Linked DNA regions of Ovis aries. The main gene of each other region encodes a partner of the protein of the gene in region 2 in a complex. Links are inferred from orthologs where the notes say so. Each region holds a gene or a part of one and is shown on either strand. Other genes may lie near its edges.

Evidence for each region.
Region 1: TREX1 (region 2) and nucleoside diphosphate kinase A 1 share a complex: the UniProt entries of both Homo sapiens proteins name them as parts of the SET complex. The link is inferred for Ovis aries from reciprocal best matches to the Homo sapiens genes TREX1 and NME1.

The regions. Positions count from the first base shown.
Region 1 is NC_056064.1:35,332,792-35,339,279, reverse strand, and holds part of nucleoside diphosphate kinase A 1, read left to right. Parts: intron 1-2,012; 5' UTR 2,013-2,016; coding exon 2,017-2,142; intron 2,143-4,446; coding exon 4,447-4,548; intron 4,549-5,588; coding exon 5,589-5,701; intron 5,702-6,187; coding exon 6,188-6,305; 3' UTR 6,306-6,488. UniProt on the Homo sapiens protein: Major role in the synthesis of nucleoside triphosphates other than ATP. The ATP gamma phosphate is transferred to the NDP beta phosphate via a ping-pong mechanism, using a phosphorylated active-site intermediate.
Region 2 is NC_056072.1:51,425,151-51,431,427, reverse strand, and holds TREX1 (three-prime repair exonuclease 1), read left to right. Parts: upstream 1-3,161; 5' UTR 3,162-3,250; intron 3,251-3,541; 5' UTR 3,542-3,562; coding exon 3,563-4,510; 3' UTR 4,511-4,555; downstream 4,556-6,277. Other genes in the region: ATRIP (ATR-interacting protein), read left to right, coding at 329-465, 634-725, 1,496-1,576, 1,800-2,052, 2,461-2,528; SHISA5 (protein shisa-5), read right to left, coding at 5,724-5,803, 5,884-6,060, 6,205-6,277. UniProt on the Homo sapiens protein: Major cellular 3'-to-5' DNA exonuclease which digests single-stranded DNA (ssDNA) and double-stranded DNA (dsDNA) with mismatched 3' termini. Prevents cell-intrinsic initiation of autoimmunity.

The DNA of each region.
Region 1 (6,488 bases), on a different chromosome or scaffold from region 2:
AGGCAAGTTACTCAAAAGGTAAAGAAAAGCCTCTCACAATCCTGTAAGGAACAGACCAGTAGTCCAACAAAACTTTGTCCTTTGAGCACGTGAAAGTTGTTTCAGCTTTCATAAGTACACTATTGATATCAAAGCTTATTTTTCTTTAGGCCAACTAAATAGAGCTTTTTTACAAATTGATTTTGACAATACTCTCTGGAGATAGAAATATATATATATCACCTATATATATATCATATATCCATAGACATATGAAATACAGACAGACACAAAGAATCCATAGAAATATATATATATCACCTATATATATATATATATATATATATATATATATATGTGATATAAAAGAATCCATAGCTGTCTCTCCAAAACTTGAGCCATGAATCCGGTATCCACTCACATGGCTAAAGCCTTTTACTAATATTTGTAGAGAAGACTTTAAAAATTTGGGAATTTCCTGGCGGTACAGTGGTTAGGACCCCATGCTTCCATTGCAGGGGGCACGAGTTCAGTCTCTGGTTGGAGAAGTAAGATCACTCAAACCTCACAGCGTGGCCAACAAGGTTTTTTTTTGTACTTGTCTTTGATGGACACTGAAGACTAGATTTTGTGGGAGGGCGGTCCTATAGCAGACTGTGTTTTCACACCCCTCCCCACCCTCTTTCTTCAATCTGTGGGCAATGTTTTAATTATCTCCTGTGATATTTACATTTCAAACACATGGTAAGATTTACAATTTCAAGAGACAGAGAAAGAATGCAAGTTTTCTCTTAGAAGTTTTGGGGTGTATTTCTCTATTTCCATAAGTCTAGGGTAATTACTGATTAAAATTTTTCTTTGTATTAGAGGTTGGACAACGTCGAGTGCTTCATCTGTTTCACTGTCAATCACTACAACATCCTCCCCTTTGTGCTTCTCACTTTCCCGAGGATTCTGTCTCTTAGTGCGCTAATCAGGCTTTGTCACAGCACTTGGACGTTAATCTGCAGCAGCTTGTGCCCTCCTAGCTTTGCTACATAAAAGCTAAGGTCTCCAACTTATCAGCCTGCTCTTTTACCTTGTCTCCCAGCCCCAGAGCTGGCAGAGCAGTGGATACCTGCATGTTCTTCTCTGACTTCAGCACTTCTTCCAGCTAACTCAAGCTTCAGCCTCTGGTGCATCTGGGGCCAGTGGCTTGCCCGCTGTGGCAACCATTCATTTCTCTTCATTGTTGCCTGTGTAGTTTCTCTAACAAACATGTTAAAGTAGCCAGGGTTTCCGGGGCATCCCTGTTCTCCTGTAGTGGTCCACAAGCATCAGACATACAGGCCACCTTCCCCACATAGAGGTAGATATTCAGCTTGGAGTTCCTCTAGGGATGCTTCTTTCTCAAGGCCCATTTCTTCAGTGTCTTGGCTGGTTCCCCAATTATTAGTTCACAAATTGGCCCTGAGAGTAGAGGGCAAGGAGAGACCAAAGAGGCAGACCACTCTAGGTTGGAAGGTGGCAGTTTTAATAAGACAGGGAACATACACATGAGGCTTATCTTGGCTGATTGCATTGTACCCACCCAGCAGAATCTTAAATCATATAGAGGCCTTAACTGGGTTCAGTCACATGTTCTGTGCAGATGGTCTCAGTAACACCTTACCTCTCTCAAAGCTGCATCCTTGAATGGCTCCTGCTATGGGAACAGTGTACAGAGTGTATATTCCAAGGACAGGGGAGGGAGTGAGGAGCCTCTGATCGCCTGGGTCCAGATTGAGGGTGAACTGGCAGTCACATCCACTTGATATGACTTAACAGAAGCTTATTCAATCAAATGAATTATAACCCCGGCTTTTCGACCCTTCTCCACTCCGGGATATTAATTCATAGATGGGGGGACTGAGGTGGAATTAGGTTTTTACTAGAGAGTCCTGGAATTGATGTCACAGATTTAAAGCAGCTTTGTGGGATAATCTGCTTGAGAAGGATAATGAGGTAGGCAGGATATTCAGTGTTGCTTCATCCCTCCACCTGCCTATCCCCAGGACCATGGCCAGCAGCGAGCGCACCTTCATTGCCATCAAGCCCGATGGAGTCCAGCGAGGCCTCATGGGAGAAATAATCAAGCGTTTTGAACAAAAGGGATTCCGTCTTGTTGCCATGAAATTCATGCGGGTAAGTGGACTTCATTCTTGCTGTTTCTATTACTTCATAGAAATAGGGGAACACCGTAGGTCAGCCTCTCTCTCCCTTCAGATCATTTTAGATTTCTCCATTTAGAGTGAATAAATGTCCTGAAACTGTGGCCTCTCCACCGAGTCTTGGAATACAGCGAGTTATTCAGGACTTTCAGAAGTAGCCTCCCTTTTCTCTTGGCAGTGCAGAGTTCCACATATTACTGTAACACAGTGATTTCTGACACAAAGCCCTGGACCTGTTTGAGCTGCTGATCTTGAGCTTCCTGAGCAGATCATTTTAGAGACTCCCTGACCCTCACCTTTGCCCCCACCCCCCCACCATTTGAGGCAAATTGTTTTTCAGCAAGGAAGTCTTTTTATCATTGTTTACCACCTGCCTAGTGTCTAGCATGTATTAGACGCTATCTGGGCATATAGGGGAAAGCTGTGGCTGTGCCCTTGGGGAGGCCCACCTGAAACAGAGAGCAAATGCCCTTGCAAGATACCTGCAAAGCAATATTTCAAAAACTCCAAAGGATTGATTGGCCAAGAACCCTTCTTCAAACACACCTGGGAAATAACTTAAGTTCTCAAAGCAAATACATTAGGGGATCATCTTTTTTTCCCCCTATTAAGAGTCACCTTTAGTGAATGAATCAGAGAAAGAGAGTCAACTTTGGACTTTCCCAGTGCATTTTATCTTTTAGCTGCGCTGCATGGCTTGTGGGATCTTAGTTTCCTGACCAGGGACCGAACCTCAGCCCTGGCAGTAAAAGCATTGAATTCTAGCCACTGGGGCTGCCAGGAAATTCCCCATCTAGTGCATTTAAAATTTTGTTTGATTTGCACTATAGTTCCCATGTGATGTTTTAGAAAAAGTGTGTTAATATAAAAGGGAGCAGACTGCTGTTAATGCTGAGGGGATAGCATGATAGAATGATTAGAACCAGGGATTGGATTAGCAGTGCTTTCCAGAGAGTTTGTATATTGAATTAGGTTTTGAAGATAAAGGGAAATCAAAGTATTATTGATCAGATATTTACCATGTGTTGGGCACATGTGTTTTCTCACTAGCTCTCATGACAACCCAGAGAAGTATTTATTTCTATTCCCATGGTTGTTAATGATAAGGAAGCTAACTGGGGCTTGGAGAGTTTGAGTAACGTGTGGTTACCCAGTTGGTGACGTAGCTAGGATTTTCACGCAGGGCTCTCTGACCCTTAAGTGCATACATTTTGTCCTTTAGACTGTTTCCTATCAAGGGCCTGGACTTGGTGAAGAATGGGTTGGGGGATAGCTGCCATGAGCCTACAGGGTTATTTAAATCTGATGTGAAGGAAAACTTGAGTTCCCTCCCACCTGTCCCCGCCTCCCGCACCAACACACAAAAAAAGCCAGCGCCAATTAATAGAATTAAAAGAATGTTGGTAAGGGAAGGTCATCAGGAGACAATCACTGCAAGTCTCCCATATGGATTGAGGGATGGGTCAGGATGAATACTAACGGGGTGACGATGTGGCTGTGTAATTTTACTTTGGCAAGAGACGATCAATGGGGCTGAACGATAGCATGTTCAGGATGTGCTTTTTGGCAGCAAATCCCCACGTTTGTGTGTATCACTGAAGTGTGCAGCATTCTGTACGAAGCAGTACTACAGAACTGGGAAAACTAAGGGATCTCATTAGACCCTTAAGGAGCATGTAAGTGGTAGCAAAGAGGAAACACAGGTGAGTCGAGTTGGCATTGCTAAGCAGATGGTTTGCTCTCTATAACTAGTCTGATTTGTTCCCAGATACCAGCCTTGCAACGTGAAAGATTTATTCTTTAGTAAAGTGACTTATTGTTAGATGGCATGTGCTTTTGGGTGGTTTGCAATACCTGTGGAAATTGCATGGTCACTGCACTGGGCCTTTGCTATTTTTTAAATGTGATGAGAAATGCTCTGGTTCAGTTTGCTTTTCATCCAATGCTGAGACCACCTCCCTCTAACATTTTAGTTGAGAATTGTTTGGGAATGCAAATTCATCGTATTGTTAGTTTTCCTGTCTAAAATACCATGGCTGGATTCAGTTCTAGTGTTCTGTAATTTTATGCTGATCAATCAAGGACAATAGGGGAAAATTGGTAAAAGCTGGAGCACTTATAGTCCCTGTCACTTTTGGTAAGTTGAGTGAATTAGATTATAATAGAACAAGTGAGCTGAGAGCTCACGTTTTAAATAGCAGGATTGGTGAGTGGGAAATAACTAAATTGTGCTTAAATAGTTTGGGAATGAAATTTCTTTCTCTATCTTATGGGCTAGGCTTCTGAAGACCTTCTCAAGGAGCACTATATTGACCTGAAGGACCGTCCATTCTTTGCTGGCCTGGTGAAATACATGCACTCAGGGCCAGTGGTTGCCATGGTGAGTGTACATGTTTGGGATGTTGATACAGATGGCTCAGTTGGGAGCAAAGAGTGAATATTGTGATTCCTGCTCCTAATGCCAGGTCTTCACTGATGCGAGGATGCTGAGACTGGGGCATTGGACAATTAGGGTATGAGTTTTCTGACTCACCAAAGGCAAAATACATTTGCTTGGTGAGCTGAAGACTCATATCTGGGAGACATCAGGAGAGAGATGCCTGATTGTAAGCTCCTGGAGGGTAGAGAGATTGTGTCTTATTTATTGTAGTAATTCTTCTTTGAGCACGTATTGGTTGTCATCTTTGTGCCAGGCTCTTTTTTAGACACTTGGGGATATAATCATGAATGAGACAAAAATAGGTAACTGTTTTCATAGCTTTCCTTGCCTGTATATCCTGAAAAGGGAGGATGGGCAGATAATAAAGAAACCAAAAATCATACATAGCAGCTAATGATTAGTGATGCACAGAAATGAAATAAGATGACATAATAGGAAGTGGCCACATTAGATTGAGTGGTCAAGAAACATGATTTTCAAACTGAGATCTGCATGAGAAGGAGCCGGCTATGCACAAATATAGAGTGAAGAGCATTCTCAACCAAGAAAATAGCATGTGCAAAGAACCTGGGGTGGGGAACTTTTTGAAGTACAGAAGGACGTTTGGAATAGATGAAACCTGGTGGGTGAAAGGGAAGGTTGGGTGAGATTTATTCAGTGGCAGAGGCAGAGGCCAGATTATGTAGGGCTGTCTTGGCCCTGTACTTCATGACTGCTGGGAGGCTGTAGGAGTTTTTTACGCTTGGTATTTTAAAAAGTCCACTCTGGCTGCTGTGTCAAGAATAGATAGTAGAAAAGCAAGAAGAGTGCAGGAAGACCAGTATTCCCAGTGCTGAACACTTAGATGCCCCATAAATACTTGTTCGATGAATGAATGCCATTTTATGAGAGCCTTTTATTTTCTTTTTGAATTAATAGTTTTCAGATTTTCTGCTGAGATTGATTTTTTTCCTTAACCATATCTTCTTCTGTCCTTGGAGGTCTGGGAGGGACTGAATGTTGTGAAGACAGGTCGAGTGATGCTTGGGGAGACCAACCCTGCGGACTCCAAGCCAGGGACCATCCGTGGGGACTTTTGCATCCAAGTTGGCAGGTAGGGGTTGTTGCATTTTACTCTTATCTAAAATCCAAGTTAGGTACAGTAAGAATTTGGTTTTCTGCAGCTGAGGGTAGACATGATGCCATATACAGATCCATTTATAATCAGAGTGTATTGTTTCCCTCTTTCTTACTTTGGCTTTTCTTAGTTTGGCCTTGCAGGCCCTCTGCCTTTGGTCATCATCATCACTATGGTTGTGCCTCTGCTGGGAGAGTAGAACCTGGCCAGAGTCTTCCTGAAGGCTCCCACTGCTTGCATTAGTGTTCAGATGGGCTGAACATCAGAGGGCTGGCTGTGTGGAGGGAATTCTTTATCCTTACTTTGATGGCAATCATAGGTTTCTTCTTTTGACAAGGAATAATGTACATGGAGCTTTGTTTTTTTATCCTGCTCTTGTGGCTGTAGGCTTTCTGGCAATGGGAATGAGGGGAGCTTCTGGGCAGTTTAATCCTGGTTCTGGCCATCTCTTTCCCCATCCAGGAACATCATCCATGGCAGTGATTCCGTGGAGAGTGCAGAGAAGGAGATTGCCTTGTGGTTTCACCCTGAGGAACTGGTGAATTACAAGAGCTGTGCTCAGAACTGGATCTACGAGTGACTTGGAAGCAGACCACAATGCTCATCCCATGCTAGTTTCCCCCCCTCCCGCAGGCAAGGACCAGGCCATTTCAAACCTGGTTATTTCGGAGAACTTGCTTTTCATTTGGAGGGAAACTCTTGGAGCTGTGGGTGCTCCATGTACAGTGTTATATGCTATCATCAGATTAAAATGTTTCATCTC
Region 2 (6,277 bases):
CTCAGCTCAAGACCTGGCTCTGTATTTGATAGCAGAGGCAGGAAGGAGCTGGGAGCAGTGTGGAGGCCAGCTCCCCAGGTCCACGGAGGCATCCCATATTTTCGAGGTGGCACTGGGCCAGGGAAGGTCCTGTCCTCTTTCAGCCACGGCAGCCCCGCAGTGAAGAGTAACTCACTTGTTTGCAGGCTAGCATTTGACCCCAGGTCTGTCTGAATCCAAGCTCCTCTTCCCTGGCCTCTTCAATTTCCTGTTACCAACAGTAAAAAAGGAGGGTGAGTTATGGAGTTGCATTGGAGGCATCACGTCTTTTTGGGCCCCTGTGTTTTAGGTTCCAGTGCGTGTTCAGGGTGCTGCCGCAATGCCTGTGCCCAGAGACACCTCTGCCCAGCGTGCTGCTGACGATTGAGCTCCTGTCCCTCCTGGTGGACCATGAGAAGCTCGCAGCTCAGCTCTGCTCCCACTCGGGTAAAGAAGGCCAGGGGATGGGGGCACATGCCCGGACAGCTCCGGCTGGTTGGAGGGGAGGGAGGTGGCAGGGATGGGCCAGGCACCTCCTGAGGCCTCTCGCAGCTTGTACCTCAGGCGGTGGGTGGGAGGGCAGAGCCTGAGTGCCAGCTGGGGCCTCCCTTCCAGAAGGCTGCCTCCTGCTGCTGCTGTACATGTACATCACATCGAGACCTGACTCAGCCGCCTCCGAGACACAGTGGCTGCAGCTGGAGCAAGAGGTGAAAGCACCAGAGCCCCTTTGTGGATGGCTTGCCACCCCACCCCACGCCACCCCACTGGAGGGGCACTTTTCCTCCTTAGGGGACCAAAGAGGCTTTCATTCACATCGGTGATGTGTTTAGAAACTAACAAGGAAGACTCGTTTTGGGGGGCCCCCTACTATACAGATATAATACACGTGGATCCAGGGTATCCTGGGACTTGGCAGGGTACCTAGAGGTGGGCCAGGAGGCAGGGGGTCATTGGTGAGACACAGGTCTTGATCCTGAGTGTCTCCTGGGAAGGCCCGGGATACCATTACCTCTTGGATCCCATCAGTGCAGACAGTTCAGTTCAGTTGCTCAGTCGTGTCCAACTCTTTGTGACCCCATGGACTGCAGCACGCCAGGCTTTCCTGTCCATCACCAATTCCGGGAGATTGCTCAAACTCATGTCCATTCAATCAGTGATGCCATCCAACCATCTCATCCTGTCGTCCCCTTCTCCTACCTCCAATCTTTCCCATCATCAGGGTCTTTGGAGTCAGCGCTTCGAATCAGGTGGCCAAAGTATTGAAGTTTCAGCTTTGGTATCAGTCCTTCCAGTGAATATTCAGGACTGATTTCCTTTAGGATGGACTGGTTTGATCTCCTTGCAGTCCAAGGGACTCTCCAGACAGGCAGTTGCTTAGGCAACGGGAGCTCTGCGAGAAGCCTGAGAAAGCCCTCACCGTGACCGGAACTGGGGTGGTGGTCTGGCGCGGATGTAACCGAGTCTGTTCTCATTCTAGGCTGTGTGGCTTCTGGCCAAGCTGGGTGTGCAGAGCCCCTCCTCCCCAGTCACTGGCTCCAGCTGCCAGTGCAACGTGGAGGTGAGTGCCGGGGGCGGAAGGGGGCTGGCAGCGGGCAGCCCTGCTGGTGGGTGACAGGGCTGTCTGAGAGCATCCTATGCTCCTTCACCAGGGCTGGACCCTGGTGCTGCCGCTCAGAACCCTCCTCACCCTGGGGGGAGGCTAGGACCGGGGCTGCCCCGCCGAGCGGGTGGTCTGGGTACAGAGGCCACATGCCCTGACCTCCGCCCACGCCCTCCCGCAGGTGGTCAGAGCACTCACGGTGGTGCTGCACAGACAGTGGCTGACGGTGCGGCGGGCAGGGGGCCCCCCGCAGACCGAGCGGCAGAGGCGGACGGTGCGGTGTCTGCGGGACACGGTGCTGCTGCTGCACGGCCTGTCCCAGAAGGACAAGCTCTTCACGGTGCACTGCGTGGAGGTCCTGCACCAGTACGACCAGGTCATGCCCGGGGTCAGCATGCTGATTCGAGGGCTTCCTGACGTGACCGACTGTGAAGGTGAGCCTGCAGTAGGCGCCCCCACCCCAGCACCCACGTGGGGTCGGCCCTGAAGTCCCCAGGCGAGTCAGACCCTCTGGCCTTAAGTCAGCGGCCCACCATCCACACAGCCTTTGCCAGCACCAGGCCACTCCTCCTTTTCCTGCTCTGGCTCCTCTCTCAGTGTATCAGCCTGCCTTTGGCTCGTATCTACTGAGTCAGCCAGGCAGAGCCACGGCTTTTCCAGAAACATCCCTGTCTGAATTGCCTTTCTGTCACTTTGCTTGCAGTAGCTGAGGGAGCGAGGCCTGGGCGTGGAAGGGACTGGTTAGTTCCTGTGGGCCTGGGGGGGCGGACGGAGTGGTGGGGCCACCCCCAGTCCCAGCACCTTTGGGCCTTCACCACAGAACCTTCTGGGTTTTGGCTCAGAGGCGGCCCTGGAGGATCTCTGTGCCGTGGAGACCGACGCGGACGAGCCCGAGATGGACTGTGGCTGAGGCCTGTGAGCACCGAGCCACACGGTGGCACCAGAGCCACTCCTGTCCTTCCCTCCTCCTCTGATTAAAAGCACTGACTGGCTGAGAGCACGCCAGCTTTCTGTTTCCTGAGTTTGCTCCGCATGGGCAGAGCGGGAGGGGCAGAGCAGAGCGGGAGGGGCAGAGCAGAGCGGGAGGGGCAGAGCAGAGCGGAGCCCCAGCCCCATGGGGATGAATCTGCCCTGGGGAAGGAGCCCTGCCCCTGTGGATTTGCCCTGAGTCATCCCTCTCTCCTGAGGCCACCGGAAGAAACCATTGTGCGCAGGGGTGGAGGCGGCCCTCAGCCCAGGCCTAAACCAGGGAGGCCTGGGAAAGTGAGGCGACGGACTGGGTGCAAAATGGCCATGGCAGGGCGGCTCCCGGCAGGCCGAGTCATGGAGCCAACCTCCCCCCATAGCCTGGTCCTCCCACCGTGAGCGTGTGAGGGCCCTGGTGCACCATGCTAGCCAGTGGGCCCACAGCCAGAGATCTGAGGCCTTTGGGGCAGCCCTGCGGGTGCCTGGGGAAGGACGGGTGCTATTAGGAGGGATGGCCCAGGCCAGCTGACAAGCGGGGCGGGCCGTGCTCACACCAGCCGTTGGGCGGGCTCAGGCCAAGTTTCACTTCCCGCCACTGCTGCTGCCGGCAGCAAGAACCAGCCAGAGAGTGTGTACCCTGAGTCATTGCTGCCTGCTGGCTCCTCGGTAAGTGAGAACCCCCAAGGGGATGAGGCAGGGTGGGAGGGCTGTGGGTACCCCAACACACACTAAGAGGGCCCCAGGGGAGGAGCTGAGCCTTCCCCTGGACAGCTGAGTGAGCAGGTCCCACTAAGGAAGCCACCCTACCTTCTCTGTCTTCCTGCCTGATAGTGGGTGCTGGAGCTCAGCAACAGGATCTAATGGGGCAGGGAAGGCCTGAGGTGCTCCCACTCCACCTGCCTTACCGCCCGTCAGCGAGCACTCACGTTCCCACCCCGACCCCTTGCTCCTCCCCAGGCTCAGCGGCAGACACCCACCATGGGCTCACGGGCCCTGCCCCCGGGGCCTGTGCAGACCCTCATCTTCCTGGATTTGGAGGCCACTGGCCTGCCCTTCTCCCAGCCCAAGATCACCGAGCTGTGCCTGCTGGCCATCCACAGATATGCCCTGGAGGGCCTTTCCACCCCTCAGGGGTCTCCACCAACGGCACCCCCGCCACCCCGGGTGCTAGACAAGCTCTCCCTGTGTGTGGCTCCAGGGAAGGCATGCAGCCCCGTGGCCAGCGAGATCACGGGCCTGAGCACTGCCGTGCTGGCTGCACATGGGCATCGGGTCTTTGACGCCGACCTGGTCAACCTGATCCGCGCCTTCCTACAGCGCCAGCCGCAGCCTTGGTGCCTTGTGGCCCACAATGGTGACCGCTACGACTTCCCCCTGCTCCGGGCCGAGCTGGCGCTGCTGGGCCTGGCCAGTGCTTTGGACGATGCCTTCTGTGTGGACAGCATCGCTGCTCTGAAGGCTCTGGAGCCGGCTGGCAGCTCCTCAGAGCATGGCCCAAGGAAGAGCTACAGCCTGGGCAGCATCTACACACGCCTATACGGGCAGGCCCCGCCAGACTCGCATACCGCCGAGGGGGACGTGCTCGCCCTGCTAAGCATCTGTCAGTGGAGGCCGCGGGCCCTGCTACGGTGGGTGGATGCTCATGCCAAGCCCTTCAGCACCGTCAAGCCAATGTACGTGGTCACAGCATCTACTGGAACCAACCCGAGGCCATCTGCTGTCACAGCCACTGTGCCCCTGGCCAGAGCCAATGACACCGGCCCCAAGCTTCGCGGAGACAGGAGCCCCAAGCCAGCCCCTCCCCCAGTGAAGTGCCCTGGAGCCCCACCCGGGGAGGGGCTGCTGGCCCCCCTGGGCCTTCTGGCCTTCCTGACTTTGGCGGTAGCCATGCTGTATGGGCTGTCCCTGGCCATGCCCGGGCAATAGGCCAGCAAGGGAAGTCTGACTAATAAAAAACCCCCACAGCACTGAGCGATCACTCACCTCTACCTGCTGTGGTGGCCTTACAGCTTCCTGCCCACGCTCAGAGACCTGGGGCCAGGGGCACAGAAAATGAGTCTTTACCCCTAATCCCAGCAGCCAGGGCTACAATGAAAGGAGGCAACAGCTCGAAATATCTGCATTTATTACAAACAAGGGTGCAGACCCAAGACTCCAAACACATTAAGAGGTCCCAACCTACGACATGGTAAGACACAGACAGAGGGGTGGGGAACACCGAGGTATGTGTCTAGGTCACAGGAGCCCCCTCAGGGTCCCCTCCACCTTTGGTCCAGACGACACCTTGACCCAGGTGTCCCCGCTGCCAGGACACACCTAGGCCCGGGGTCCAGCAGCCGGGTAGCCTGTGAGGCTGGTGATGGAGAAGCAGGAACTCAGAGTCCCTCTCCTCTCAGGGAAGTCTCCCTCTAGGACCCAACGGTTTCAGCCTCACAGCAACCATTACACACATTTTGAAACAGAAAACAGGTAAAATAGTTAGTGAACAGTAAAATAAAAACACTGCAGGGAGGACACCTGAGTGGACAAGTGGTCAGAGGCTGCCCTGTCCACCTGTGAAAGGGGCCAGGGCCAACCGGGGCAACCAGAACCATGGGTAAGTGTGGGCCTCCAGGTGGTCCCAGGAAGGGTGCGAGAAGGGTCCAGAAAGATAGTTTTCAGGAAGGGTGAGGCTCCGCCTGAGGCGTTCAGATAATCAGGCCACCCACCCTCCACGGGGCAAGGCCCCGGCTGTGGGAGCCACAGGAAAGATCGAGACCCACCTGCAGTCCTCAGCCTCACCCGCTCGCCCGCACTGTGGCTCTAGTGCTTCAAAGACGGCTAGCCATGCCACAGAAACCGGAAGACGGGTGCATCCTGCCCACACAAAAGCTGAGCTGTCCTAGTATGACAAGCATCCCTGCTCCAGCCCCAGGTCTCGCTGGGGTGGCTAGAAAAGAACCGTTCTGTGGGGTTCCAGGAAGCATAATCTCAAGTGAGGAGGGGAGCACAACGTGGTCCCGGCAACTCTGCCATGGGCTGCTTCATGCACCCCTCATCGCCATCACACACACCACGCCTGGGGAGAGAGGCCCGCACCCGCACACCCAGTCACACACGCAGGACAGATCAGCTGGTAGCCAGAGACACCAGGGAGTGCTCAAGAGACTATCTTCGGGGGCTCCATGTAGGCCGGATTATAAGGAGGCTGGCTGGCAGGGTAGGGCAGGGCTGCATCTCCTGAAAACAGAGAGGACACCAGTTAGCTGTGGCCGTGGCTGCAGAGGGTCAGGCATGGTGGAGTCGGCAGGCGTACTCACCTGCCATCGTCTCGTGGTAGGCGGGGGGGCCCATGGGCTGGGTTGGGTAGGGTGCTGTTGGCAGCCCCGGCTGGGGCACCACGGAGTGGTAGCCCTGGTACGTTGGTCCAGGGTAGCTGGGCGGTTGCAAGTAAGGGGTGTGGGTCACCGTGGTGGCCGTGGTGGTGGTCACAACCGCTGCAAAGAGAGCCCCGGTCAGGAGCGCCAGGCTGGCCACCCCGCCCTCCAGCTCAGGCCAGCCAGGGCCCTGGCGAGCCCACCACACCGCCCGGGTCTGTGCTGCCCCCGAGGGGTCACCGTGGGGCAGGGGGGGATGCTCACGTTGCGGGCGCCGGCACATCTTGTACAAACAGCAGCAGGAGCAGGTGCAGCAGATGATAACGGTGACCACGCC